7 linked regions of the Oryctolagus cuniculus genome follow. Each later gene encodes a partner of the first gene's protein in a complex. Links are inferred from orthologs where the notes say so. Each region holds a gene or a part of one and is shown in the gene's direction. Other genes may lie near its edges.

What was found.
Region 2: TAF7 (region 1) and TAF5 share a complex: the UniProt entries of both Homo sapiens proteins name them as parts of the TFIID basal transcription factor complex. The link is inferred for Oryctolagus cuniculus from reciprocal best matches to the Homo sapiens genes TAF7 and TAF5.
Region 3: TAF7 (region 1) and TAF13 share a complex: the UniProt entries of both Homo sapiens proteins name them as parts of the TFIID basal transcription factor complex. The link is inferred for Oryctolagus cuniculus from reciprocal best matches to the Homo sapiens genes TAF7 and TAF13.
Region 4: TAF7 (region 1) and TBP share a complex: the UniProt entries of both Homo sapiens proteins name them as parts of the TFIID-containing RNA polymerase II pre-initiation complex. The link is inferred for Oryctolagus cuniculus from reciprocal best matches to the Homo sapiens genes TAF7 and TBP.
Region 5: TAF7 (region 1) and TAF9 share a complex: the UniProt entries of both Homo sapiens proteins name them as parts of the TFIID basal transcription factor complex. The link is inferred for Oryctolagus cuniculus from reciprocal best matches to the Homo sapiens genes TAF7 and TAF9.
Region 6: TAF7 (region 1) and TAF3 share a complex: the UniProt entries of both Homo sapiens proteins name them as parts of the TFIID basal transcription factor complex. The link is inferred for Oryctolagus cuniculus from reciprocal best matches to the Homo sapiens genes TAF7 and TAF3.
Region 7: TAF7 (region 1) and TAF11 share a complex: the UniProt entries of both Homo sapiens proteins name them as parts of the TFIID basal transcription factor complex. The link is inferred for Oryctolagus cuniculus from reciprocal best matches to the Homo sapiens genes TAF7 and TAF11.

The regions. Positions count from the first base shown.
Region 1 is NC_091437.1:28,859,471-28,862,738, reverse strand, and holds TAF7 (transcription initiation factor TFIID subunit 7), read left to right. Parts: upstream 1-1,245; coding exon 1,246-2,295; 3' UTR 2,296-2,768; downstream 2,769-3,268. UniProt on the Homo sapiens protein: The TFIID basal transcription factor complex plays a major role in the initiation of RNA polymerase II (Pol II)-dependent transcription.
Region 2 is NC_091446.1:26,638,826-26,642,325, reverse strand, and holds part of TAF5 (transcription initiation factor TFIID subunit 5), read left to right. Parts: intron 1-598; coding exon 599-914; intron 915-1,690; coding exon 1,691-1,854; intron 1,855-1,965; coding exon 1,966-2,101; intron 2,102-3,476; coding exon 3,477-3,500. UniProt on the Homo sapiens protein: The TFIID basal transcription factor complex plays a major role in the initiation of RNA polymerase II (Pol II)-dependent transcription.
Region 3 is NC_091438.1:61,355,587-61,359,697, forward strand, and holds the start of TAF13 (transcription initiation factor TFIID subunit 13), read left to right. Parts: upstream 1-1,311; 5' UTR 1,312-1,411; coding exon 1,412-1,438; intron 1,439-2,288; coding exon 2,289-2,367; intron 2,368-4,111. UniProt on the Homo sapiens protein: The TFIID basal transcription factor complex plays a major role in the initiation of RNA polymerase II (Pol II)-dependent transcription.
Region 4 is NC_091436.1:55,085-59,081, reverse strand, and holds the start of TBP (TATA-box-binding protein), read left to right. Parts: upstream 1-1,197; 5' UTR 1,198-1,408; intron 1,409-3,997. UniProt on the Homo sapiens protein: The TFIID basal transcription factor complex plays a major role in the initiation of RNA polymerase II (Pol II)-dependent transcription.
Region 5 is NC_091445.1:90,326,944-90,330,885, reverse strand, and holds the start of TAF9 (transcription initiation factor TFIID subunit 9), read left to right. Parts: upstream 1-1,142; 5' UTR 1,143-1,189; exon of another isoform or gene 1,190-1,262; intron 1,263-1,480; exon of another isoform or gene 1,481-1,496; coding exon of another isoform or gene 1,497-1,788; intron 1,789-3,663; coding exon of another isoform or gene 3,664-3,756; intron 3,757-3,942. Other genes in the region: cell cycle checkpoint protein RAD17, read right to left, coding at 696-906; AK6 (adenylate kinase isoenzyme 6), read left to right, coding at 1,497-1,788, 3,664-3,756. UniProt on the Homo sapiens protein: The TFIID basal transcription factor complex plays a major role in the initiation of RNA polymerase II (Pol II)-dependent transcription.
Region 6 is NC_091444.1:75,310,815-75,314,314, reverse strand, and holds part of TAF3 (transcription initiation factor TFIID subunit 3), read left to right. Parts: intron 1-1,876; coding exon 1,877-3,500. UniProt on the Homo sapiens protein: The TFIID basal transcription factor complex plays a major role in the initiation of RNA polymerase II (Pol II)-dependent transcription.
Region 7 is NC_091436.1:134,549,826-134,553,782, forward strand, and holds the start of TAF11 (transcription initiation factor TFIID subunit 11), read left to right. Parts: upstream 1-1,157; 5' UTR 1,158-1,266; coding exon 1,267-1,437; intron 1,438-3,907; coding exon 3,908-3,957. UniProt on the Homo sapiens protein: The TFIID basal transcription factor complex plays a major role in the initiation of RNA polymerase II (Pol II)-dependent transcription.

The DNA.
Region 1 (3,268 bases):
AAGCACGGTCCCCCTCCGGGCACTTTCATAATTAAAATACACACAGAACCACACAGTGGACAGCATGCTCTCCTTACGCCATTGATTTGGGAACTTTTAAATCCACTTTGTGGTTAGTTACAAATTCCTGCACCGACACCAGAATGGGTAACTCCTGGGGAACACGCGAGACGTTTCCCGAAGCAAAACGCTTTCTGCAAACATGCCCTGACCCCCGAAGTCTAGACGCTATCTCGGCGCTTGCCGGTCCGGTACAAATGCTGTCTCAGCAGGGGGAGGCTCTGTGACCTTCCTGCAATCGTTATCTCTTATTTTCAAACTAGGTCGGCAGGAAACTTCATTTTCACGCCCTAAAACAATTCCCCTGGATCCAGAGAACGAGTCCCGGCCGGAATCGCAGCGCCGCGACTGCGTCTGCGCGCGCTCGGGGCGGGCCGTCTTTCCGCCCGGCCGTGCTGTCACTCACGGCCGCTTCCCGCCCCGCGCCGTGACGCAGCGCGGCTTTAAAGCCAGCTCTGCAAGCGGCTGCAGGCAGACGCCTGCGGAGCCTCCGGTGTGTGGCTCTGCGCAGCGCGTCTCGGCGAAATTTCGCGCTTCCCGCCGGGACCGAAGCATTGGTAATCAGTAGCGGATCACTCAGCTGAGCAGCAGGAAGAACAAAGGAGTCGGCGAGAGAAGAGGCTCCCCGCCGCTTTGCAGCGAGTGGCTTCCTCCCCCCGCCGCCTGCGCCCGGCGCGAAGCTGAATTTATAACCGTCACTGGATTGTAAGTACCCGAGGCAAAGGCAGCTCGCTGCGTCCCGCTTTTTCAGTTATGCTTGTTTCGGGAGGGTTTGGGTCGGTGTTGACTGCTTGTCCTAATTTTGTGCCGTCTTCATTCTGCAGGAGCCGCCATTTGCTTTCCTGCTCGCTCGCTCGCCCGCTTGCTCTGTCTGCATTGTCTGGAGGCGGCACCTAGAGGCTGGAACTCGGCATTGCAGCTCCAGGCTTTAAATGGACTTAATTCTCTGAATAAGCCAGTGTGTCGGTAACAAACAGCGGGTGTGGAGTGCAGCATATTTAGAGAAAAGATTTGTGGCTTGATTAAAAATTAAGACAAAACAGATGCTTAGCTACTGTTCTGCATAGAACCTTCTGTTGTTAGATTTTAATTCATAAGGAACTGGTCTTTTAAATTGTTGCAGTAGCTGAAACTTTTCAGTGCAGCAAGTGTTTATTAGGAGAAGGGAGTCAGAAAGAAGTGAAGATGAGTAAGAGCAAAGATGATGCCCCTCATGAGCTGGAGAGCCAGTTTATCTTGCGCCTGCCTCCAGAATATGCTGCTACTGTGAGGAGGGCAGTGCAGTCGGGGCATGTCAACCTGAAAGACAGACTGACCATCGAGTTACACCCCGATGGGCGTCATGGAATTGTCAGAGTGGACCGGGTCCCTCTGGCCTCAAAACTGGTGGATCTGCCGTGTGTTATGGAAAGCTTGAAAACCATCGATAAAAAAACCTTTTACAAGACTGCTGATATCTGTCAGATGCTCGTGTCCACAGTTGATGGTGATCTTTATCCCCCTGTGGAGGAGCCAGTTGCTGCTGCTGACCCCAAAGCAAGCAAGAAAAAGGATAAGGACAAAGAGAAAAAGTTCGTCTGGAACCATGGAATTACTCTGCCTCTAAAGAATGTCAGAAAGAGAAGATTCCGGAAGACAGCAAAGAAAAAGTATATTGAGTCTCCAGACGTGGAGAAAGAAGTGAAGCGGTTGCTGAGTACAGATGCGGAAGCTGTCAGTACTCGCTGGGAGATAATTGCTGAAGATGAAACAAAAGAGACGGAGAATCAAGGCCTTGACATCTCTTCCCCAGGAATGTCTGGCCACAGGCAGGGCCAGGACTCCCTGGAGCACGATGAGCTTCGGGAGATATTCAATGACCTCAGCAGCAGCAGCGAGGATGAAGATGACACCCAGCACCAGGACGAAGAAGATATAAACATCATCGACACTGAGGAAGACCTGGAGAGACAGCTGCAGGACAAGCTGAATGAGTCAGATGAACAGCACCAAGAAAACGAAGGGACCAACCAGCTGGTTATGGGCATTCAGAAGCAGATTGACAACATGAAAGGCAAGCTCCAGGAGACCCAGGACAGGGCCAAGCGACAGGAGGATCTCATCATGAAGGTGGAAAACCTGGCTCTCAAGAACAGATTTCAGGCTGTGCTGGATGAGTTAAAACAAAAGGAAGACCGAGAAAAGGAGCAGCTCAGCTCTTTGCAGGAAGAGCTGGAGTCACTCCTAGAGAAGTAAGAAGAATTTTGATCATTTTGAACCTGATGGTTCCACACTAAGAAAATCTTCATCACTTTTTCTGGATTTTAAGATTTTGCAGTAGTTCCCGTTCCTTCTAATGCTAGAAGTTCTTTTTAAATTATCTTGTTTTCAAGAAGCACTTTGCTAGGTGTTCATTCTATAGAATTAGGATTGACTAGGCAGTAATGTAATTGTTAGGAAGTTGTAGGGTTAGTGGAATGAACAGCTGAACCCTAATATTCACAGCTGCATTGCAGGACTTTGCTGCTGTTTCCCCATTTCCCGGAAGCTGCTATTGCTGCCATGTGGTGCCTTCTGAGATAGGTAAGAACCTAGTGTAGAGGCAATGAAGTTGGTTTGCATATGTTTCCCTAACTATTTTCTCAGTTAAATCAAAGCAGTTTCACACATGTAGAGATGCAAATAATTTCATAAGGTTTCTAACATAAATAAAAGCGACTAATTTTCAACTTATGTGTCTTGATTTTTTCATTGGTAATAGGAGTCAGATAATCTTTTGAGGTGGTTTCTCGGTAGAGTTTAATGATTGGTCAGTTTGGTCCTGCTTTGCAGGTAAAGAAGCAGTTGTGGGTTAAAAAAAAAAAAAAAAAGGAACATAGCAGAAATTGGGAAATGTCATCTTTGCATTCTATTAAGGTTCTAATCCACCTGCTCCATCAGGAGGCTGGAAAACATGAGATACAGAGCCATTCTAAACTACTCTAGTATTTGTAGATGAAGGCCTGCTTTACCCTTTTTTTTTTTTTTTTTTTTTTGACAGGCAGAGTGGACAGTGAGAGAGAGAGAGAGAGAGAGAAAGGTCTTCCTTTGCCGTTGGTTCACCCTCCAATGGCCGCCGCTGCAGCCGGCGCACCGCGCTGATCCTGGCAGGAGCCAGGAGCCAGGTGCTTTTCCTGGTCTCCCATGGGGTGCAGGGCCCAAGCACCTGGGCCATCCTCCACTGCACTCC
Region 2 (3,500 bases), on another chromosome or scaffold:
AAATGAACATGCTTATTGTTTGGTGTCACAGTTTGTTCTTTAGTCATAATATTAAAATATTGGTATTTAATCAATGTCTGATATTAAGGACATAGGAAATGATTAAAAGTAGTAGATTTATGAAAATGCCATATATTGATTATTGTTGAGAAGCTGTGATAGATGTATTGAGTTCATTATACTGTTTTCTACTTTTATGTATGCTTGAAATTTTCCGTAATAGATTTAAAAAGTAGGTTTTGATAAAACATAAAATTTAGTAAAGCAAGGATACTGACATTTCCAAATGTCTACCAAAGGTGGCATTCAAAAGAAATTTTGTACCAGTATCATTAATTCATTTATGGTATTTATTTAAGACTATTTTATATATTTGATAATTTCATTAGATTATTAAATCGGTCATTTTTAGGATGAATTCAGAAACTGAATTATAACGATTTTGAAATGAATTCCTTCTATTCCTACAGCTTATTGGTTCAGGATTATTCAGACTACTACATTGAAAATATTCTGGGATGGTTTATAAATATTTGGGGGAGAGGCGGATCCCTTAATGATTACATTGAAAAATGACTTTTTAAAATCACTGAAACAGGTTCCATGGAGATCAGGAATGTTATTACCAGGATGACCTACGAGTATTATCTAGTCTTACCAAAAAGGAACACATGAAAGGGAATGAGACCATGTTGGATTTTCGAACAAGTAAATTTGTTCTGCGTATTTCCCGTGACTCGTACCAACTCTTGAAGAGGCATCTTCAGGAGAAACAGAACAATCAGATATGGAACATAGTTCAGGAGCACCTCTACATTGACATCTTTGATGGGATGCCGCGTAGTAAGCAGCAGATAGATGCGATGGTGGGAAGTTTGGCAGGAGAGGCTAAACGAGAGGCAAACAAATCAAAGGTATGGGATAAAACTAAGAACTATATAATGCAGATGATGAAAAATTGTAGCATTTCCATCTAAATAAAATTTTTCTTGTAGCTAGTTTGGGAATACTTTTATCCTGTGTTTAAAGTTTCATATTTTAAGGACAATGTATAAGTATATGAGATGTGGGGAATGGTTACATTTAAAAGAAACCTGACTACAGTGTAAAACCCAAGAGGTTTTTCCTCATGTAAGATGGAATCTAGAGGAAGGCCTTCCAATGCTGCCATGGTAGCCCCATCATGCCATGGGTGTCCCTGGCTCCTTCTAGTTTCTGGTCCACCGTGTTTAGCATGTGGTTTGCTTCTTTGTGCTCACGAACGGCTGTTGTGGCTCCAGCATTGCAGCTGTGTTCTAAAAAGGAAGAGGGAGGATGAAAGGCATATATCCCTGCTGGGTCTCGCCCTTAGTGTTAGGAAAAGTGTGTGTATGTGGTTTTTATGTTCCCCTCTGAAACCATAACCACGATGTTTCTGTGTGTATTTGGTGGCCAGAATTATGTTATATGGGCATTGCATTCTTAACTGTAAAGGAGCCTGGGAACACAAATTATTAAGCACTTGCTGCTCCAGTTAAATCAGGGTTCTGTTTATAAGGAAAAAAGAGAAAATTGCTGCTTGGCAAATAAGTACAGAGCCCTGCTTCAGATTATAAATTACTGTTCTGTACTTGTGATTCATCCTGTCAAGATGTGAAAAGGTATATTGCTGAACAAAAAATTTAAAATGTTGGGTTCTCTTAACTTGTAGGTATTTTTTGGTTTATTAAAAGAACCAGAAATTGAGGTGCCTTTGGATGATGAGGATGAAGAGGGAGAAAATGAAGAAGGAAAACCTAAAAAGAAGAAGCCTAGAAAAGATAGTGTTGGATCCAAAAGTAAAAAGCAAGATCCCAATGCTCCACCTCAGAACAGGTGAGGCAGAAGGCCTTGGGAACTTGTCTGGAGGTGTGAGGCAGTATGTTTTAGAGAGCTCAAGTTTGTGAATGTTCACAGGGTGATTTCCAGCCTGTTTTTCTTTCACAGAATCCCTCTTCCTGAGTTGAAAGACTCAGATAAGTTGGATAAGATAATGAATATGAAAGAAACCACCAAACGAGTGCGCCTTGGACCAGACTGTTTACCATCTATTTGTTTCTATACATTCCTCAATGCTTACCAGGTTAGTAAAATAAGTGGACAATTTCTTGTTGGAGAGTTATTTAAAATTGTGATTTACCATTAAGACAAAGTTAAATGTGTTAATTAAAATGGAGTTTTATTATTTGAACTCTTGATATAATTTAGAATTACAGTAATTAGGAAAGGAGAATTGGATGCTGTGCACAGTCGATAGAAAGCAATGTTTAAAAGACCATTAGGGGCCGGCGCTGTGGCTCACTAGGCTAATCCTCCACCTTGCGGTGCCGGCACACCGGGTTCTAGTCCCGGTCGGGGCACCGGATTCTGTCCCGGTTGCCCCTCTTCCAGGCCAGCTCTCTGCTGTGGCCCGGGAGTGCAGTGGAGGATGGCTTAAGTGCTTGGGCCCTGCACCCCCTGGGAGACCAGGATAAGCACCTGGCTCCTGGCTTCGGATCAGCACGATGCACCGGCTGCAGCGCGCCGGCTGCAGCGGCCATTGGAGGGTGAATCAACGGCAAAAGGAAGACCTTTCTCTCTGTCTCTCTCTCTCACTGTCCACTCTGCCTGTCAAAAAAAAAAAAAAAAAAAAAAAAAAAAAAAAAAAAAAAAAAAAAAAGAAAGAAAGAAAAGAAAAAGAAAAAAAAAAAAAAAACCATTAGGAACTTGTAAATACCAGAATCTCACTTATATTTGAACTCCATTTCACTGATCAGAATTCTGCTAACGTTTCAGGAGGAAATTATGACCCATCTGTTCTACACTTGGTTTAAATACTTATATAAGCTTATGTGTTAGGAATTCTATGTCTTTATGTCTCTTTGTAATAGGTTGTGAAAGATATATTTAATAAAGTACAAAAGTGATTAACATTTAATTCCTGTGCACTCTTAAATATGGAGGGCAAAAAAGGGATCAGTAATGACATGCTCTCCAAGTAAATGCTTTTATAGAACAAAAGCTCAAATGATGTTTTATTTGAGAAAAACAGCCATCATTCTATATTCTCTTAAGATGTGACTGTAATTTTTCTTCTAAGATAGTATTTTTTTTTGAAAGACATTTATTTAAAAGGAAGAGTGATGGAGCATGGAGAGACATAAAGATAGAGTTATTGATCAGTTGGTTTATTTCCCAAAAGTTGGCAATAGTCAGTGCTAGGCCAGGCCAAAGCTGAAAGCCAGGAATTCTGTCCAATATCCTGTGTGGTTGGTGGTAGCTCGGTTGCTTGGGTCATCGTCCTCTGCCTCCCAACCACATTAGTAAGCAATTGGATCAGAAGCATAGAGTAACTGGGATTCTAACCAGGCACTGTTACAGGATGTGGGCATCTCAAGCAGTGGCTTAACTTGCTGTGCCACAATGCCCACCCTAAAACAGTATTATTTACTATGGAACATTTTTTCCCCCATTGGCAGGGCCTCACTGCAGTGGATGTCACT
Region 3 (4,111 bases), on another chromosome or scaffold:
TAAAAAATACAATGTGGCAAAATGCTGAAAATTGTTAAATCCTGAAACTAAAATGAGAACTTATCAAAAAATGCCCAAATAAGAAATAAATATAAAAGAATCTATTAATATGTTTTTTTTATTTTTTTTATTTTATTTATTTATTTTTTTGACAGGCAGAGTGGACAGTGAGAGAGAGAGACAGAGAGAAAGGTCTTCCTTTGCCGTTGGTTCACCCTCCAATGGCCGCCGCGGCCGGCGCGCTGCGACCGGCGCACCGCACCGGTCCGATGGCAGGAGCCAGGAGCCAGGTGCTTTTCCTGGTCTCCCATGGGGTGCAGGGCCCAAGCACCTGGGCCATCCTCCACTGCACTCCCTGGCCACAGCAGAGAGCTGGCCTGGAAGAGGGGCAACCGGGACAGAATCCGGCGCCCCGACCGGGACTAGAACCCGGTGTGCCGGCGCCGCAAGGCGGAGGATTAGCCTAGTGAGCCGCGGCGCCGGCCTATTAATATGTTTTTAACACGTAAATTCTCAGGCATGACAACACAGGAGGTATAATAACAATGTGGTTGCTTGTACCTAGATGTAAATTTACCTCGAATGTAGGAACTACAAATGTAGGCAGATTCCAGGTGAGCACTATTTAAATTACAAGCGATATTGCCTTTGGTGGCAGTATTTCCTCTTAATAAGTTCCAAACAAAGCAAAATGCAACAGATCACCAATTTTGAAGAAGTAACAGTCACAGGAAATCCAATGTTCATTAAAAGCATGGGAAAAATAGTTTATATAAAATAATATTTTCAGTCATTGAATGTTCAGCAGGACATAGAGAAATCGTGTGTATTATTGGACTTTTTTATCGTGTGGCATCATCCCTTAGGTTGCAGGATATTTTATGTCAACTCCAGCCTCTTACTGCGTGTTCTCATTGTTAAAACCCAAATTCTTCTCCAGAAAATTTTAAATCGTCTCTAAGGATAGCGCCCCCTTGAGAACTAGTAGTGAAATATAGTACCCCACAATAATTAACAAAGTGCTTGGGATCAATAGTGCAGGCGTAACTCATTGCACTTTAAAATACACCCCTCAGAGCAAGACCGCGGGATCGCCCTCCTACGCTCCAGGTCAGGAAAGGTGGATTCAACACGCACAAGGAGATGTAGGGTGATAAGAGGATACACACTGCCTGGTGCATTTCTTTCAGTTTGCTAAATTTTAGTTCCTTCCTCGGGATTACAGAACCCAGAGCTCACGCTGCTACCCTACAGACCGTCTCTCTCAGCGGTCGCTAGGCAGCTCCCCCTCCCAGGCGTGTTTGCGGGGACCCGGCCCCGCCCCCTACGTCACCGGAAGTGACGCAACGGAAGTAGTAAAAACCCGCTGAGAGCGAGCCGGCGCGGCACAGTAGGTTGTCGGGCTAGTGTAATGGCAGATGAGGAAGAAGATCCCACCGTGAGTGACCGCCTTTGTCCCAATCCTCCCTTTCGCTCAGGCTTAGTGACGGAAGCAGAGTTCAGAATGGGGTGTTTTCCTTAGTGAATTCAGTCGAGAGAGTTCGGGGACCAGTTGTGCTTGTCTTTTCCTTCAGCTTCATGGTTTTAGTACTCCGGGGCAGGACGTGAAGTAGTGGGAAGGTAGCCCCTTTCCCTTCGGATTCGGGCTGAATCTGCTAGACACTTTGTGAAACTAGACGATCGTCAGAGCTAATCACTCGTATTTGTTGGTGCTCGTTAAATGAACCAACAATCTAGCTGCTAACAGAATTGGATATTTATTGTGAAGTGTTGGAGAAATAACGGACCACAAATCAGAAGCCTGGATTTCAAAATCTCCATTCTCACCGAACAAGTTATTTAACTTTCAGCATCGGTTGTTCTTGATATAAAATAAGGTTAAAACAGATAAGGAAAGGTTTTAGCACTGTATAAGCAGGTGCTTAGTTAAAATTTTTCCTTTTTTGCTGCAGGGAGGTAGGCTTTGATTCAGTATCGGTCCTTGAATGGCAACACTGGCTAGCAGTAGACCAACTTAGTTGGTTTTAAACAAAAAGAACTTGCGGCTGTTAAAAGGCTTACGTGTCTAGGCAGGATTGTTGTGGACAGTGTAGAAACCATTTTTGCGGGAATTGAAATTTTGACTAGGTAGTCTCTAAGGGCTCTTTAGTGCTAAGTTATCATGATTTTTTAGTGCTTGCTTTTAAGCGTTTTGGCCTGATATTAGTGTTAAAAATGAAAGCAAGTTATTAAAATATCAAATGCAATGCAATCACTTGACATTTCTATATATACATTTTAACTTCTAGTTTGAGGAAGAAAATGAAGAAATTGGAGGAGGTGCAGAAGGTGGACAGGGTAAAAGAAAGAGACTCTTTTCTAAAGAATGTAAGTAGTATTTGACAGTGATTTTATTATAGATCATGCAAACTTTTGGACATGTCCTTTGGAATAGATTTATATTCTGAAAATGTTTGCAAGGATAATATTCTCAAAATTGCCAGTAAAGTTCAATTTAATTTTTGCCTTTTTTTAAAAGATTTATTTTTATTTTATTTGAAAGAGTTACAGAGTGAGGCAGAGTCAGAGAGAGAGGTAGGTCTTCCATCCTGTGGTTCACTCCCCAGATGGCCGCAATGGCTGGAGCTGTGCCGATCCGAAGCCAGGAGCCAGGAGCTTCTTCCATGCGGGTGCAGGGGCCCAAGGACTTGTGCCATCTTCTACTACTTTCCCAGGCCATAGCAGAGAGCTGGATCGGAAGAGGAGCAGCCAGGACTAGAACCGGTGCCCATATGGGATGCCAGCGCTTCAGGCCTGAGCTTTAACCTGCTGCGCCACAGCACCAGCCCCTCAGTTTAATTTTTGAATCACAGATACTAACCCCAGTTTAACGTATAATTGTGTTTTAAATTGTACAGAATTTAAGTGAGGGAATATTGTTATGTCTTTCTGTTAGGCTGTCACAAAAACACACCAAACTCCGGAGTAAGGGAAAGGGTTTATTGAGAAAAGCCAGCAGACCGGAAGGGTGAGGTGATGAAGGGAAAAAGGGAGAGGAGAGTATAAGAGAAAGAGACACGGAGAGTAGAGGAGCTAGTGAGGAGAGAAGAGAGACGAGAGGAGCCAAGAGAACAGGAGAGAAGAGCCAAGAGTGCCGCCTGTTCAGGAACAGGCCCTTTTAAACTTTGCCAGAGGGCGGGCAGGGAAACAGGAGCAGCGAATCCCGTTAGGATGGGGGTGGAGCTTGACACTGGTGGTTGGGCCATGTGGCTACATGGCTTTCAGCAATGGCTGTGAGAACCGGGGCATAGGATGTAAATCATGGTGTAGATAGCGCCATGGATAAAACTGCACCAGTTTCCTAACAAATATGATCAGTGTTTCAATTCAGGACAAAACAATATACCTCCACGTTTTCCTGGCCCTTACCTTTGCAACAGTAGAAGCAGGAGTTCTTTTGACTGTGGGCACTGAAACAGGTGCTGAGGGTAGGGGCTAAGTTGAGACTTTGGACTAAGGGCAGTGAACAGGGCAGGAAGGTGAGGAACAATGTGAGACATACAATGGCATGAAGATAATATAATGTGTTAGTGCTTTGTCCCACTCCCTCAGTAGACAGATTTTACCCTTTTTAGACAGCAGCATGAAGAAAGGAGATCTGTTCCTACTGCTGATAGTCCAGGACAACATTTAAAAGTCATCATGAGAATAGCTTTTTATCTCCCAGTACGGATTCCTTTATATCTATATAGCTGGGTATTGAGAGATGAGACAACACAGATTTAAGAATACCTGTTTATTAAGGTTGGGACAGATACGAGCAGTTTACATGTGATGTTAAAACTGCACATCAGTATGTCTTTTTTATTTGAAATTTATTTGAAAGGCAGAGTGACAGAAAAAGACAGAGATCTTCCATCTGATGGTTCGCTCATGCCCACAACAGCTGAGGCTTGGCTAGGCCAGGCGGATGCCAGTTGCCCAGAATGCCATTTGGGTCTCTTACATGGGTGGCAGTGGCCACAGTACCTGAGCCATCACCTGCTGCCTTCCAGAATCACAGCAGCAGGAAGCTGGATTCGAAGTAGAGTAGATGGGAGTCAAACAAGCACTCTGATGTGGAATGTCAGCC
Region 4 (3,997 bases), on another chromosome or scaffold:
GACGTTCCCATACTTCTTGGGATCCGCGGACAGGTTTCCCGGCGGCATCTCCCACGCCAGTGACACGCACAGGGACGTTCCCATAGCCTGGCTCTCAGTGGCCCCAAACTGGAAGCAATGAATGTCACCTCGGCAGGATGAGCAGAGGACCCGAGTGGGGTCACAGGGAGCCAACTGCAAGCAGTGGCAGGTGCGGAGCAGATCCTCCACGCAGGAGGACGCTGAGCAGGACGCAGACTTCACACCGAGGGGTGGCAGGGTGTCCTGCCGGCAGTAGTCACTTGACACAACTGTTTGTTAATTGGGCAAGTCTTTATGCACTTTCTTATTTGTTCCATTATAAATGCGAGCAAGCAAGCGATTGGCTAACCAGTTTGGCTAACTTCTGGTCACATCCAATTCTGGAACCAGAGAAGACTTTTTAAAGGGCTTGTGTAAAACTCTCCCGTGCTTTGCTGCAAAGGAGAACAAGGCCAGAGATGGCCTTTGTCTTCGACAAAGTCCAGTATTGTACTCGCTCTGGTCTCCGTAGGTCAACGCACTGCCAGGCACTGTCCTGGATTCCGGAGCTCAGGACCTCACTGGTAGCACAAACTGCCCCCGTGGTCGCGTCCAAGTGACCACAGAAGGAAGCGGCCGGGAAGACCACGACGGCCGCGTGGCGACAGTGCGAAGCCTGCTAAGACGGCCCCAGCGGAATGAAAGCCCCGACGAATCCGCAACCCGGTGCCCCGCGTGCTGCGGAGCGGCCCACACCCGCGGCGAGGAGCACGCGCGCACCGCCCACGCGGTTACTTCCTGGGCCCCGCGGCCGCTCTACGACGCCGTCGCCCGGGGACGCCGGGCGTCACTCCCGCGGCTGGGTCCTCGCCACCCACGCGGGACACTGGCCTGGCCAGGGCTTTCTGGGCACTAGGAGGGGACTCCTCCGCGTCTGTGTCTACCTTTCAAAATAAAAAGAAATGTCAAAGAGAAAACAAGTTTAGACTAGAAAGAACTCATCCTAAAATAAAAAGACCCCGAGGCAAATGTTAACTTGCCAAGGTTACACCTCTAGTTGGTTTAAAAAACTTTTTTCAATTATTAACTTTCCTTACTTCCAGAAAGCACCAATTAGAAAAGGCTATGGAGAGGAGGCCCCGCCCCGGAACTCCGACGAGCTCCGCCCCTCATTTCCCTTGAGCCCAGCGCCCAGGAGAAACCGGAAGGATCCCGCGCCCACACTTACCATGGCCGCGCCTTCAGCGCGTGCAGCCTGCTGACGCCGCGGACAGAACTGGCGGAAGTGACATTATCAGCGCGCGCCTGGAGTTCGGTGGGGTCGGGTAGGGTTGCTGTGGCGGGGCCTGAGCAGCCTGCGGCTTAACTTCGCTTCCGCAGGCCCTTGATGATCTCTGCCGGCACCCAGGTACCTGGCCCTTTAACTCTCTCTCTTTTTCGAGGGCGCTGGCGGAGGCGGCCGCTGCAGCGAGGCCCAGGGGCGGTGGCGGGCGGAGACGCGGAATGGGCGCGCAGGCCCCGCGGGGACCGAGGTTCCTCTCGCTCGAGCCGCCGCCGCTCGGGCCTGTACCGGCCGTTCGGCCGCCGCTCCATCCCGGTGCGCGGCTGTGCTGTGGGTGGAAAACGGCTTCTCCCCGCACGAGGGTGGGGCAGACCCGGAGCCTGCGCCGCCTGGCTGGCACCCTCCGCCCATCCTCTCTGGCCGGTGCCCGCTGGCTTCGCTACCCGCAGGGGTCGGTTTTATTTTACAGTCGCGCGTGACACTTGCTAACGATTTGTGGAAGTCCGAGCTTTAGGCGCGGTGGACGTCCGAGGCAGACGCGCACCTCTGTCCTTAGACGGCCAGGGAGGCCCCTCGGGGAGAGGATCCCGCCTGGCTGCGTGTGCGGACGCGGGAGTAGACAGAGTTCATTGGATGACCTCAGGGGACACGCAGCCTGGTCTTGGGTTTCCGGAAGATGAAGACCTTGCACGCGAGCCTCTGTTGAAGGGAGAGTCAGTGCAGTAAGGCGCCTAACGCAGTTTCAGTATGCAGGGAGGGGAAGACGGTGAGCGCGTGGCCGGGAGTGAGAGGAGCGCTCGGAACAGGGGTCTGGAACAGCCTCGTCGCAGTTGGGTGCTGTGATCCTGCCCTCATCTCTTGCCGCAGCCGTGACAGTGACCCCGAAACTGGGCTTGCGGCCCTCGGCTTCACTGCCCCGATGTATCCCCACGCGTGCCAAGCTGGGGTGCTGGTGCTGCGCCTGCTGCCCGTGTGACCCCAAGTTGCTTGCTGCTGCGCGCTGCTCTCTCCATCCTTGTCTCTCGTTTAATTTCTCTGTTGCCAGAGCCGCTGATTCATGATTTCCTACTCACCTTGCCAGACCCAGGTTGCACGGTCCTTGCTTTGTGAAAACAGGCCCTCTCTGCGAGCACTCGCCTGTTAGTCCCGTCTTCTGTGGCGTACGTGCGTTCGTTCACCCATGAGCCACTACTAAAGGGCTCTCCAAGAAGTTCATGGAAAGCGTGTATCGTGAAAAATTATACACAGATTTCAAAATCGTTTGGACCAGACTAAACACATCTGTGATCCATTCTCTGTGTGTTCTTTGAAGTGCTGTTGTATGGGCAAGACCTGGTGCTGGGTACAGGTTACAGGCGTGCGTGCTGGTTTCTGAGATGAACTTCGCGGGTATCTGATTTTGTTACTAGTAGAGCAGTCGTTACGCAGTTGCACGTGGAACTACTTGATGCCGACAGTGTCCTCTTCGGCTGTACATCAACAGCACTTCTGTTACTACAGCAACGTCTAAAGAAAGTACAGTTTTCTTACATCTTTGGTACATTTCTTTTCAGAAGTTGAGCTTTTTGTGTGTGTCTGTTTTTCAGTGATGAGCATATAGGATAGACAGCTTTTGGGGCCCTTTGCCCTCTCAGAGTGATGATTCTTCCGTTCATCCAGCATGCATCTGAGTGCTTACTCTACCAGCACAACTTGAGGTGCACATGGGTCTTTGAACAACTTGACCCCTGAGACCTATGAGCGCTATGTTGGAATGAAAACCAATAATGGTAGCTAACATTGTTCTGTGTTTGTACTTGATGTTTTATTTTAACTCAGCCAGCCCACCCCCATGGTGCTCAGTCAGTTCTCACAGCCAGCACGTTGGAGTGAACTGTGCTGAAAAGTTTTTCACTAGTCGCTTGGTTCTTTCATCAGGAAGTAGTTTCAGGAGATGGTAGAAATGATTGAGAAAAGCCAGATATAGGCACAGTTTGTGGCTAATGTATTCTAAAGAGGTAAGATTGCTGTATTTATAAAAATATCTTATTTATCATTGTGTCTGCACAGCTTCTTTCACGCCAAACTATATTGGGTACAACTCAGTATTTATTGAGCTTTATGTCCAAGACATTACAGAGGCTATAAAATTGAGCAGCATATTTATACACCTGAACTTGGCCTTAGCACTGTGCTGTGTGTACCATGCCTCATAAATATTATGCCTTGATAGCACATTTTCCTTGGGAATTATCTAGGTGTGTTCCTCCAAAAGCTTTTTTTTTTTCATTTAAGATTTATTATATTTATTTGAAAGAATTAGAGAGAAAGAGATCTTCCATCTGCTGGTTCACTCCCCAAATGGCCGCCAGGAGCCAGGAGCTTCCTCTGTGTCTCCCACGTGGGTGCAGGGGCCAAAAGCCTTGGGCCATACGCTACTGCTTTCCCAGGCCATAGCAGAGAGCTAGATCAGAAGTAGAGCAGCTGAGATTTGAACCGGTGCCTATATGGGGTGCCGGCACCTGCATCACAGCGTCAGCCCCCTCCAAAAGCTTTTAACTCTGGGTATGACTCCTTGATTTTGAGCTTTATCAGACAGTTTAAACGTGTAAGAAGTTGTTTTTTGTTTGTTTGTTTGTTTTGCAGTTTTGGACCTAATCGTAGGAAACATGAAAAGAATAATGCTTTAGGATTGTAAAGTAAAAAGAAATGCATTCCCAAATAGCTTCACTGGTC
Region 5 (3,942 bases), on another chromosome or scaffold:
GAATAAAACAGTTGAATCTCACTGTCAGTTTTTCTAGAACTTCCTTTGAGCACGCCATCAGAAAACGTCTTGGCATCACTGTTTTCCGATTTGCGTGATTCGTCAATACTGATGGAAAGCAGTGAATTCAACCATTTTAGGGCCGCCAGGAGGAACGATTTTCAAGGCCAACAAACTGTACCCTGGGAAGGTGTACTGGACTATCTGAGGAGGCACACTTCCACACACTGGCAGTCATTCACCTCTGAGAGTAGACCGCTATCAGCAATGCACAGTAGCAAAAAAAAAAAAAAAAAAAAAAAAAAAATCGATTCAATGTAGCCGACAGTCAGCACTGCAGCCGCTCAGTGAAAGCGAGACCGACAATTACCTCCTTGGAAAAGCAGGTAACTGTCAGCGACGATGCCCGTTTCCTGAAATTAGATGTCAGAGGCAGAAGACACGTTCAGGACCATCCCGAGCCCACCCACCACCACCCCACGCGCTGCACAGCCGGTCCTGAGCTCAGACATTCGTTCAGCGCCATCCTGCAACCAGCCGGCAGCCAGGCTGAGCTCGTCGGTCCCCGCTCCAGGCCGGGGCACCGCAACCCCGTCTCTCTCGTCCCAGGCGGGACGGGAGGGCATGGAGGCAGAGATGGGCTCGCGCGTCCAGGACACACACAGAAAACACCGCCACAACCGCGACGGCCTTACTTTCCGGGAGCCGCATTCCCCTCCCTCGTGGGCGGAGAGGAGCCAAGGAGCGCGGGGCCGGCTCCGGTGTTGGGGTGGCCACCCGACCCTCCCCGGGCTCGGCACCGAGCCTCTCGGGGGTCCCGCCTCCCGGGGTCCTTCCACACCCGTCGGCGCCTCGGCGACGCGGCGCGAAGGGCGGGGGCCCCAGGCGCGCGAGCGACATAGGCATCCAGCGCACTGCCTGACTCAGAGCGCGCAGCGAGCTGGCTCCCGGCCTCCATTCACGCCACGGAAGCGTGTCACAGAAGCCCAGGGAACCGCTGGCGGCGGCTGGGACTGCGGAGCTGGGCCGGGAGCGGGCGCCCGGCACGGCCTCGAGGACCCCGCGGCCGCCGGCGCTGGCGCTGCCCGCCCCTTCCGGCTCCTCCTCGCGGTGCGTAGGGCGCGCGCAGAGGAGGCGCTCGGGGCGTCCGCCGGGACGACTATGCGGCTGCCGAACATTCTGCTCACCGGTCAGGGCGCGCGGCGGGGACGGGACGCGCGGGGGGCTCCGGGCGCCGGGCGGGGAGCGCCGGGCTGCAGCGGGCGGCCGGGCGGGGGCCGCGGGGCGCGACGGTGGCCGGGGCCTGCGGACGCGGCGCGGGGCGGGGGCGGCCGCGGGGCGCGGGGAAGCCGGCCGGGACCCGGCGCTCCGGTGTGGGCAGGCTCCGTTATCTTTATAATAGAGACCCTGGTGTTCTGCTCGGAAAGCCAGCTTTGGCGTCTCTGGTCGGGTTGCTTTGGGGTTTCCCGGAGGTAACGTGCGGAAGCGTGTCGGCCATGGCGGAGGCCTCGCGTCGTGGGCCTTCGCGGGTGGGCGCGGGTGCTGGCGGCGTGGCGGAGCGCGTGCAGTCACTGCGGCCGTGTGCTGGGGTAGTGTCCAGGCGCCTGCCTCCCTTTGTGATGGGAGCGCACGCTGTGGAGCCCCCGGCTGCTCGTGAGCCCCTGCGGGTCTCGGACACTGACCCGCTGTGGCCAGCGAAGCGGCTAGAACGCTGGGCCTCTAGGCCTGAGACGTGTCCGTTGAGAGCGTCCTGCGCCGTTCGTGGGGGAATCTATGGAGCGTATCGAAGTATTAAGAGATTGTGAAGAGTTGTGTTTTTTTTTTTTTTTTTTGAAGATTTGTTTGTTTGAAAGTTACAGGGAGAGGGAGGGAGGAGACGCAGATCTCGCATCTGCTGCGCTGGTTCACTCCCGGCAGGATCGCAGTGGCGGGGGCTGAGCCAGGCAAAGCCAGGAGCTTCACCCGGGTCTCCTGCACGGGTGGCAGGGGCCCAAGCAGTTGAGCCGTCTGCCACTGCTTTCCCCCGGCCCTGAGCAGGGAGCCGGACTGAAGTGGAGCAGCCAGACACCACGGGCACTCGTACAGGGTGCTGGAGTGGAAGGCAGCGGCTTTGCCCCTACTCCACAGCCCTGAACCCTGAAAAGGTTTTTTCCCTTCAACATTTAACGAAACTTGACATTTTTGGCAGCCCACAAAGATTGTTCCTAGGTGCTGCGCAGTAGCCCCTCAGCTAGTGAGTTTTTAGCCTGTGAGATTCATTATGATGAAGATTTTGCAGCATCTGATTTGCATGGATTAGTGTCCTGATTAATGCTGTAAAAAAAAAATCTGGTGTGAATATTTTAATGAAAGTTGAGTCCAGGGTTCAGACTTGGTATAATATAGTAGACAGGGGTTAAATGTCCTGCATGTGGAGATTGGATTTATACATGTTAATAATGCTCAGATGTAATCATTAAAGTGTCATTAAACATTGAGAAGCTGAAAATTATGCGTTTGATTATCTTGGAATATAATTCTTTTAGACGTAAAAGGGGAAAGGTATAGAACAATGCATAGTATTACCATTTATGTAAAAGGCAATACAAGTGGCATGTGTTTTTGCACATAGGATATGCTACCTACACCTACTTCTGTGTATAGACACACATGCATAGGACTTCTTCGGAAAGGTATGCAAAAGACTAGTTACAGTGGTTCCCAGACTAAGGTTTGTTCCATGAGCAATTTTTTTTTTTTTTTTTTTTTTTTCTTTTTGGACAGGCAGAGTTAGACAGTGAGAGAGAGAAACAGAGAGAAAGGTCTTCCTTCTGTTGGTTCACCCCCCAAATGGTTGTTACGGCTGGCGCGCTGCGCCGATCCGAAGCCAGGAGCCAGGTGCTTCTCCTGGTCTCCCATGGGGTGCAGGGCCCAAGCACTTGGGCCATCCTCCACTGCACTCCCAGGCCACAGAAGAGAGCTGGACTGGAAGAGGAGCAACTGGGACAGAATCCGGCGCCCCCACCGGGACTAGACCCCGGAGTGCCTGTGCCGCAGGCGGAGGATTAACCTAGTGAGCTGCGGTGCCGGCCAATGAACAATTTCTTAATCTTTTAAAATAAAAGCAAATAAATGACAGTAATTGATTTGAGGTGGCTGATTTTATTGTGGGCAGTCTGACGTTGGTGGCAGCAGTCAGAATTTGTATTCCCACCCATGGAGAAACATTGCGTGATTCTGACATCCAGAGCTTTTTTGCAGAAAAATTTTTTTAATTCGGGAGAGCACTCATGCATGTTCTCATCCACTGATGGACTCCCCAAATGCCTGTGCTGCCAGAAACCAGGAAGTCAGCTCAGTCCTGCTACCTGGATACTTGAGCAGTCCTCTGCCTCCTGGGATCTGCATTGGCAGGAAGCTGAAGTCAGGAGTCAGAGCCAAATACCGAACTTAGTCTAAACTCAAACATGGGAGGTGGGCATCCTAACCTCTACAGACACCTGCCCTGGGAGATTTTGTTTAGTTGGTTTTGTATATTCACATCTGGTTGCTTACTACTATTTTTGTATATTCACATCTGGTTGCTTTCCTACTAGGAAAGTTGTTAAGAACCTTACAAAGGGTGGAAGTAGTTGAAGTCTATAATAGTATTTCATAGGCATTTTTCTGTGATTTGTCTTACAGGTACTCCAGGGGTTGGGAAAACCACACTAGGCAAAGAACTTGCATCAAGATCAGGACTGAAATACGTTAATGTGGGTGATTTAGCTCGAGAAGGTAAGGGGATGCTTTAGTGTTGGGTTTTTGTTTTTGTTTTTGTTTTTGTTTTTCTTGCAGTCGGCTAGTGGAATTATTGGTACTGTTAGGTATTGTGAGAGGGTACAAAAGCAGAGACAGATTCCTATTATGGAATTTGTGCTCTATCCGGAGCCTACAGAAAAAGAAGATACTAAGTGTCCAATA
Region 6 (3,500 bases), on another chromosome or scaffold:
CATCACTGAGTAAAATATTTATCAAAAACTGTATCTAGAGATTAAGCTAGTAATCATCATCCTTCTCTATTTCCTGTTTTTTTTTTTAAGTTATTTATTTATTTATTTGAAATGCAGAGTTACGAAGAGGCAGAAGCAGAGAGAGAGAGAGAGAGAGGTCTTCTATCTGCTGGTTCATTCTTCAAATGGCTGCAACAGCTGGAGCTGGGCCAATTAGGAGCCAGGCACTTCTTCCGGTTCTCCCACACGAGTACAGGGACCCAGGGACCTGGACCATCTTCCACTACTTTCCTAGGCCATAGCAAAGAGCTGGGTCAGAAGTGGAGCAGCCAAGACTCAAACAGGCGCCCACATTACCTGCTGCGCCACAGCTCTGACTCCACTATTTCCTATTTCTGTTATTGACTGCATTTATTACTCAGCAGGGCTCAGCACCTGGAAATTGTGTTTGAGCTCTTCCTCAACTCTTACACCTATTCATTTATCATACTCTATTCTATCTTTACTATATCATTGGCCTTCATTGCTTCCTATTTATTACCGTTATTCTAGTCCTGACCCTTATTGCCTCTTACCTACATCATTTCAAAAACCCCTAACTCCCCCCACTTAGAATCCCTAGCCATCCTGTGTGTTCCTGCCAGTATAATTTTCCTAATACACATGCTTGGTGTTTTCCTCTGTTTTGTAAAAACTGTCACTAGGTCCAAACTACCAAAAGAAAAAAGATCTTTGTTCATTCTTGCAGAATTCCAAAGTTCTAGAGTCTGAATCCAATGTTACTAAACGTTTTACTCCTCCCCTTTCCTACCCATTTTATACCCTGCTTTCCAGACAAATTAAATGATCCTTGGTGCTTATATACTTCCTGTGTTTCACCTCCTTCTCTTTGTCATCTGACCCTTCATCTTGGATTTCCAGCTCCCAGCCTCCAACAGCCCCAAATGCTCCATAACACCCTGGATTCCACATAATTATCAAAGTGTTCAGCACGTGCATGGCATTGCAGTAATCTGCTTCTCCTTTGAATTGCTGTGGCGCTTTATTTATGGCACTAATCACTTGCTATGTGCTGTACACATATATTATTTCCCCTGCTGATCTGTGAGCTGTTTTAGGTCATGATTTATTTTTGATTTATTCCATTAGCTCTTTCACCCCTTAACACTGTGCATTATATGCTTTGTTAATAATAACAAATAATCTGATTTTACAACATCTCAGTCAAGCTGGCAAGCAAGTAACATTATCCCCTTTTGAAAGGTCAAGAAACAGACTCAAAGAGGTTAAGAGAGTGCCTAATATCTTTTGCTCTGTTGTGCCAGAACTCTATCTGAAACACCATTGGGCAAGCCGAATGTGTTCCATTAGACCATATTGTCTGATACCAAGCAAATAAAACAGAAGATACAAGGTGGCATGTGAATTGTGTCCAAAAAATCAAAACTGGTTATAGAAGCCCTTTAAAATTATGCCTTTCTGTCATTTGACTTTGAGAGAGGGGCACGCATGTGTCTACACATGAAAGGGGCATGGAAAGAGAAGGAGAGTATTTACTCAAGTTAGGAAAAGAATTAATTAAGGAAGCAGGGGAAGACAAACTGGAAATACTTAGCGAACTCCAGGTCCTGAAGTTAGAGCCACACTACTTAAAAGGGAAATAACTAGTTTATAATCTGCTGTCACATGGCACTCTTAAAAGACTGATGGCACACAGCTTTGGAAAATCCTTGAAATCTTAGTCTTTGAATAAGATTTAGTCTTTGAATACTGTCAGTAAATTTCTGTCTTTCCAATGAAGCCTGTTTGAAGCATTGTTTTTATTTGTTAGACTGTGTTACATTCCATTAATACTTCTTTTTTCATCCTTTGCCAGAGGAAGAAGAAGAGCAGGTACCCACTGATGGAGGCACATCAGCAGAAGCCATGCAAGTTCCCCTGGAAGAAGATGATGAACTGGAGGAGGAGGAAATTATTAATGATGAGAATTTCTTGGGTAAAAGACCATTGGATAGTCCTGAAGCTGAAGAAATGCCAGTCATGAAGCGACCACGACTGTTAAGCACGAAAGGAGACAACTTAGATATAGTATTATTGGAAGCTCGAGAACCACTCAGCTCAATAAATCCTCAAAAGATTCCACCAATGCTTTCTCCAGTCCATGTACAGGACAATACAGACTTAGCACCTCCATCACCAGAGCCACCAATGTTGGCTCCAGTTGCAAAATCACAAATGCCAACTGCAAAACCATTAGAAGCAAAGTCTTTTACTCCTAAAACTAAGACTAAAACAAGTTCTCCAGGGCAGAAGACTAAGTCACCTAAAACCACCCAGTCCCCAGCAATGGTTGGAAGTCCTATTCGGTCACCAAAAACTATATCCAAAGAAAAGAAATCACCTGGACGTTCTAAGAGCCCCAAGAGCCCCAAGAGCCCCAAGGTTATGACTCATATTCCCCAACCACCTGTCAGACCTGAAACACCAAATAGGACTCCTTCAGCTACAATAAGTGAAAAAATCAATAAAGAGACCATTCAGGTGAAACAAGCACAAACACCCCCCGATGCTGGGAAACTGAACAGTGAGATTCAGCCGAAAAAGGCTGTTGTCACAGATAAAACAATAGATGACTCTATTGATGCTGTGATTGCACGAGCCTGTGCTGAACGAGAGCCAGATCCTTTTGCATTTTCTTCTGGATCAGAATCCGAAGGAGATATTTTTACCAGCCCTAAGAGAATTTCAGGTTCGGAGTGTGCCACTCCAAAAGCTTCTACTTCCTCAAACAATTTCACGAAGTCAGGATCCACTCCTCTGCCTCTTTCTGGTGGAACCTCAAGTTCTGATAACTCATGGACAATGGACGCCTCGATTGATGAGGTTGTGCGTAAAGCAAAGATGGGAACACCGGCAAATATGCCTCCCAACTTTACTTACACCTCTTCCCCTTCAGTTTCTCCTCCCACTCCCGAACCTCTCCACAAGGTATATGAGGAGAAACCCAAACTGCCTTCCTCAGTGGAGGTAAAGAAGAAGTTGAAAAAGGAACTAAAGACTAAAATGAAAAAGAAAGAAAAGCAGAGAGATAAGGAGAGGGAGAAAGACAAAAGCAAGGAAAAAAATAAGGAGAAGGAGAAAGTGAAGGAGAAAGAGAAGGAAAAGGAAGCCAGCAAAGAAGCCAAGTATCCATGGAAGGAATTTCTGAAAGATGAAGACTCAGATCCCTATAAGTTTAAAATAAAAGAATTTGAAGAAGTTGATTCCAAAGTGAGATTGAAAGATGGAATTGTGAGGAAGGAGAAAGAGAAACATAAAGATAAGAAGAAAGACAGAGAAAAAGGCAAAAAAGATAAAGATAAGAGAGAAAAAGAGAAAGGTAAAGATAAAGGCAGAGACGATAAGATGAAAGCTCCACCGACCCCGCTGGTGTTGCCCCCCAAAGAAATGGCCTTGCCCTTATTCAGCCCTGCTGCTGCCGTGAGGGTCCCATCCATGCT
Region 7 (3,957 bases), on another chromosome or scaffold:
GCGCGTCACTTCCGGGATCCGGCGTCACGCGTCACCGCGCCCCCATGCCCCGCCCCCTTGCCCACCTAGCTGGGCGGGGCTCCGCGTCCCTGTGCAGGTGGACCTTGGTGTGTCAGGACAGGACTTGGGGGTCAATGGGGCAGTGCCATGTGGGTACCCATTGAAGAAGTGGAAAGGGACAAAGGGGACCCACCTGTGTACGCCTCCAAAGTGCGCTTCTTTTCCAAAGGTTTTGGGAGCTCACGGGACAGGAAATACGGTAATTCGTCCCGGCGGTGTGGAAACAAAGAGAGAAATATGGTAATACGCACCTACATTTCCAAGTCCGTTCTTTAAGCATAAAGCAGTATGTAACAGGTGCGGGAGCCTGGTAATACAGAGGTGAATAAAACGCCCTGCCCCTCCCTCCGCGTGCCTCAATGAAAAAAGGCAGGACATTTTAAAAGCAGAAATATCCTAGCCCCTTCACCATCCCAATCCGTGAAATGGCTCATTAAAGTGAAGCGCTCAAAGGAGAGACCTCCCACCCTGTAGGGATTCCTCATGATGAGACTGAGTGGGTAACAGAAGTCAGGCTTGAGAAACCTATCCCGATTTTCAGCACTGGCGAACTGGAAAAATCATTTAATTCGGTAGAAAATGTTTTTTCCCTGTACTAGCGCTGCTCCGGACTCAGAAACAGGCAGTCAACACTCGTGGAGTGAATGAATGGGTTGGATAAACACTGCTCAAGCAATAGGACTTTTTTTTTTTAAGGTGCTCGTGAAATATTCGTAGAGGGGAAATGGTGGCAATTCAATGTAAAGTCAGGCCCGCAGTCTGTCCAGGTGAAATAAAGGAGGTTGAGTCCCTGCCTGAAAGTTTGCTACCCCAAGGTTACGCGACAGCCGCGTACAAAAGGAGCAGTTTTCTCCCAGGTCCTCCAACTTTGAGGAAGAGGTTAACTGACAAAGCATTCTTAGAACGACGGAAAGGAAAAAGAAACCCTTCAGGAAGCACAACTGCACTTCTTCACAGGTGCTGGTCTCCAAGGACGGATCCACAGGGGACTTTGCACCCTCAGCGTTCTCTCTCCAGCACCACCCACCCAGGATTCAAACGGAGCCCTCAGGTGCTCCGCGCGCCCCCCATGGCCCTTCCGAGGACCAGTAGTGGTGACGACATCGCGGTGCGACGACAGGAAGTAAGCGCCCACTGTGCCGCGCGAGGTCCGGAGCTCCGCGGCCGACAGCACCGCGATCTCCTCCCCTTGCCGTTCTAGCTGTGATGGACAATGCCCGCGAGTCTCCTGCGGACAAAGGTGGGGAAGCAGGGGAGTCAGACGAGACGACTGCTGCTCCTGGGGGCCCGGGGACTGCGGACACGGACGGGATCCCGGAGGAAGCGGACGGAGACGGAGACGCGGACTTGAAAGAAGCGGCAGCGGAGGAAGGCGAGGTAGGCAGAGAAGTGTGACTGAGGTTGGAGGCATACGCCGGGATTGTGTTACCCGGAGCTCGCCACGATTCCCTCTAGATCTGCCGTCCGGGGAGTGTGGGAGGAGCAACAAAACTGTGGTGCTGGTTTGGTTCCAGAGACTCGAGCATTAGGTTTTAATATGTTTAGTCCTTGCCTTTCGGGATTAAAGCTACATCTAAGTGAATTTTAAATAGCTTCTTGGTTTTCCTATTGATGAAGTCGGTACTGTCATCCCGAGACTTAGTGCAAGAGCCAAAATCCAGGATTCCCAGCGCGCCTTTCACCGCACTATAGGTCCTCTTAGTTAATTGTTGTTTAAGTACAGCTTTCGTCTTTACAGGAGGCAGAGTTGATCAGATCTGTTAACGGGAGACTTTGAAGTCATATTCTCATCCAGCTGCTGCAGTGTCCTCCGTGCTAATGTCCAGGGGTTTCTATAACGTAAAAACACCAAATCCATCAGCTGTGCTCTCAGGATAGCTCAGCAGGGTTGCCTAACCGCGCAACAATCGCGACCAGAATCTCAGCGTCCTGTGGGTTCCTTTTCTAAAGAGAGAATTTCTAGGATCTTAGAGGCAGAAGGAACTGAAGAGCTCATGGACTGAACGTTAGATGGATAGCCTTGTCACCAAAACATACACGGTAAGCTTTTAGAAAAAGAGAAGACAGTTGACAAAGCTGAAGAAGGAAAAGTTAAAATGGGTCTCAAGGACGCAAAGGAATTGAATAATTAGCATGGTCCACTAAAGGAGCTCACTACAATATAGAAGTTTGGAGCCAGCAGAGGATAGAATTATGATGCTTTTGAAACATTTTTAAAAATTAGGCCGGCGCCGCGGCTCACTAGGCTAATCCTCCGCCTTGCGGCGCCGGCACACCGGGTTCTAGTCCCAGTCAGGGCGCCAGATTCTGTCCCGGTTGCCCCTCTTCCAGGCCAGCCCTCTGCTGTGGCCAGGGAGTGCAGTGGAGGATGGCCCAAGTCCTTGGGCCCTGCACCCCATGGGAGACCAGGAGAAGCACCTGGCTCCTGCCATCGGATCAGCGCGGTGCGCCGGCTGCAGCGCGCCGGCCGCGGCGGCCATTGGAGGGTGAACCAACGGCAAAGGAAGACCTTTCTCTCTGTCTCTCTCTCTCTCACTGTCCACTCTGCCTGTAAAAAAAAAAAAAAAAAAAAAAAAAAAAAAAAATTAATCAAAGACCAGCATTGTGGCACAGCAGGTTAAGCTACCTGCAACCCCAGAATCCCATATGGGCACTGGTTCAGTTCTGGCTGCTCCGCTTCCAGTCTAGGCCCTTGCTGATGTGCCTGGGAAGGCAGCTGAAGGTGGCCCAAGTTGAGCACCTGCACCCATGTAGGACTTCTGGCTTCCACCTGGCCCAGCCCTGGTGGTTGTGACCAATTGGGGAGTGAACTAGCAGATGGAAGAACTCTGTCTCTCCCTCTCTCTGTAACTCTGCCTTTCGATAAAAATTGATTATGTTGGGGCCAGCACTGTGGATTAGCTTTAAATATGTAACATAATGCATGTAAGTATGTAAAATATTTATTAATATTCTTTAAGTCAGAATCACAAAGTTGGGGGTGGGGGGTGGGGAGTGAGCAAGCTTCCATCTGCCTGTTCATTCCCCCAAATGGTCACAGTGGCTAGAGCTGGGCCAGGCTGAAGCCAGGAGTCAGTAGCTTCTTCCAGGTCTCCCACATGGGTGCAGGGGCCCAAGGACTTGGGCCATCTTTGGGCCATCTTCTGCTGCTTTCCCAAGCACATTAGCAGGGAGCTGGATCAGAAGTAGAGCAGCCAGGACTTGAACTGGCACTCATATGAGATGCCAGTGCTGCAGACAGCAGCTTAACCCACTATGCCACAGCATTGGCCCCTACATATTTTTGATTTTCAAAGAATGTACTTATTAGAAAAAAAAAATGGCCTATCTGCTGATTCACACTCCAAATGCCCAAAACAGCTCAGACACTCTAATAGGGGACATGGACATCCCAACCAGCATCTCAGATTTTCACTCCAGGGCCTCCTTTTTAATAATCTTTCTAAATTGAATCGTCAATAGTAAAAATATCTTTGGATCCAGAGGAGAAGAGCTGGCTGGCTGGAGAGGGCTTTGGTGACATCCCCTGTAAGGAATGAGCAGGAGAGAGAGTCCATGGAGAGAGTGGTTTTCATGATCTTGGCCATTTCTTTATCCTTGTATACAGACACTGAAGCTGTGATCATAGCTAAACTGGAAAACTAGATTATTTAACTGGTTCTTTCTACAGCCTAACTAACCTTCCTTGAGGAGAGATACTGTATCTTATACTGGGTGGAACAGTCAGTTCTGGGACAAAAAAACTACACAATAAGTGGATCTGTTGTGTTATGAGGATGATGTCTTAACCTTAGCCAAGCCTGGAAAGTAGGACAAATATATAATAGAGTTCTTTTCATCTTCCCAGCTCAAAAGTCAGGACGTCTCCGATTTAACAGCAGGTGAAAGGGAAGACGC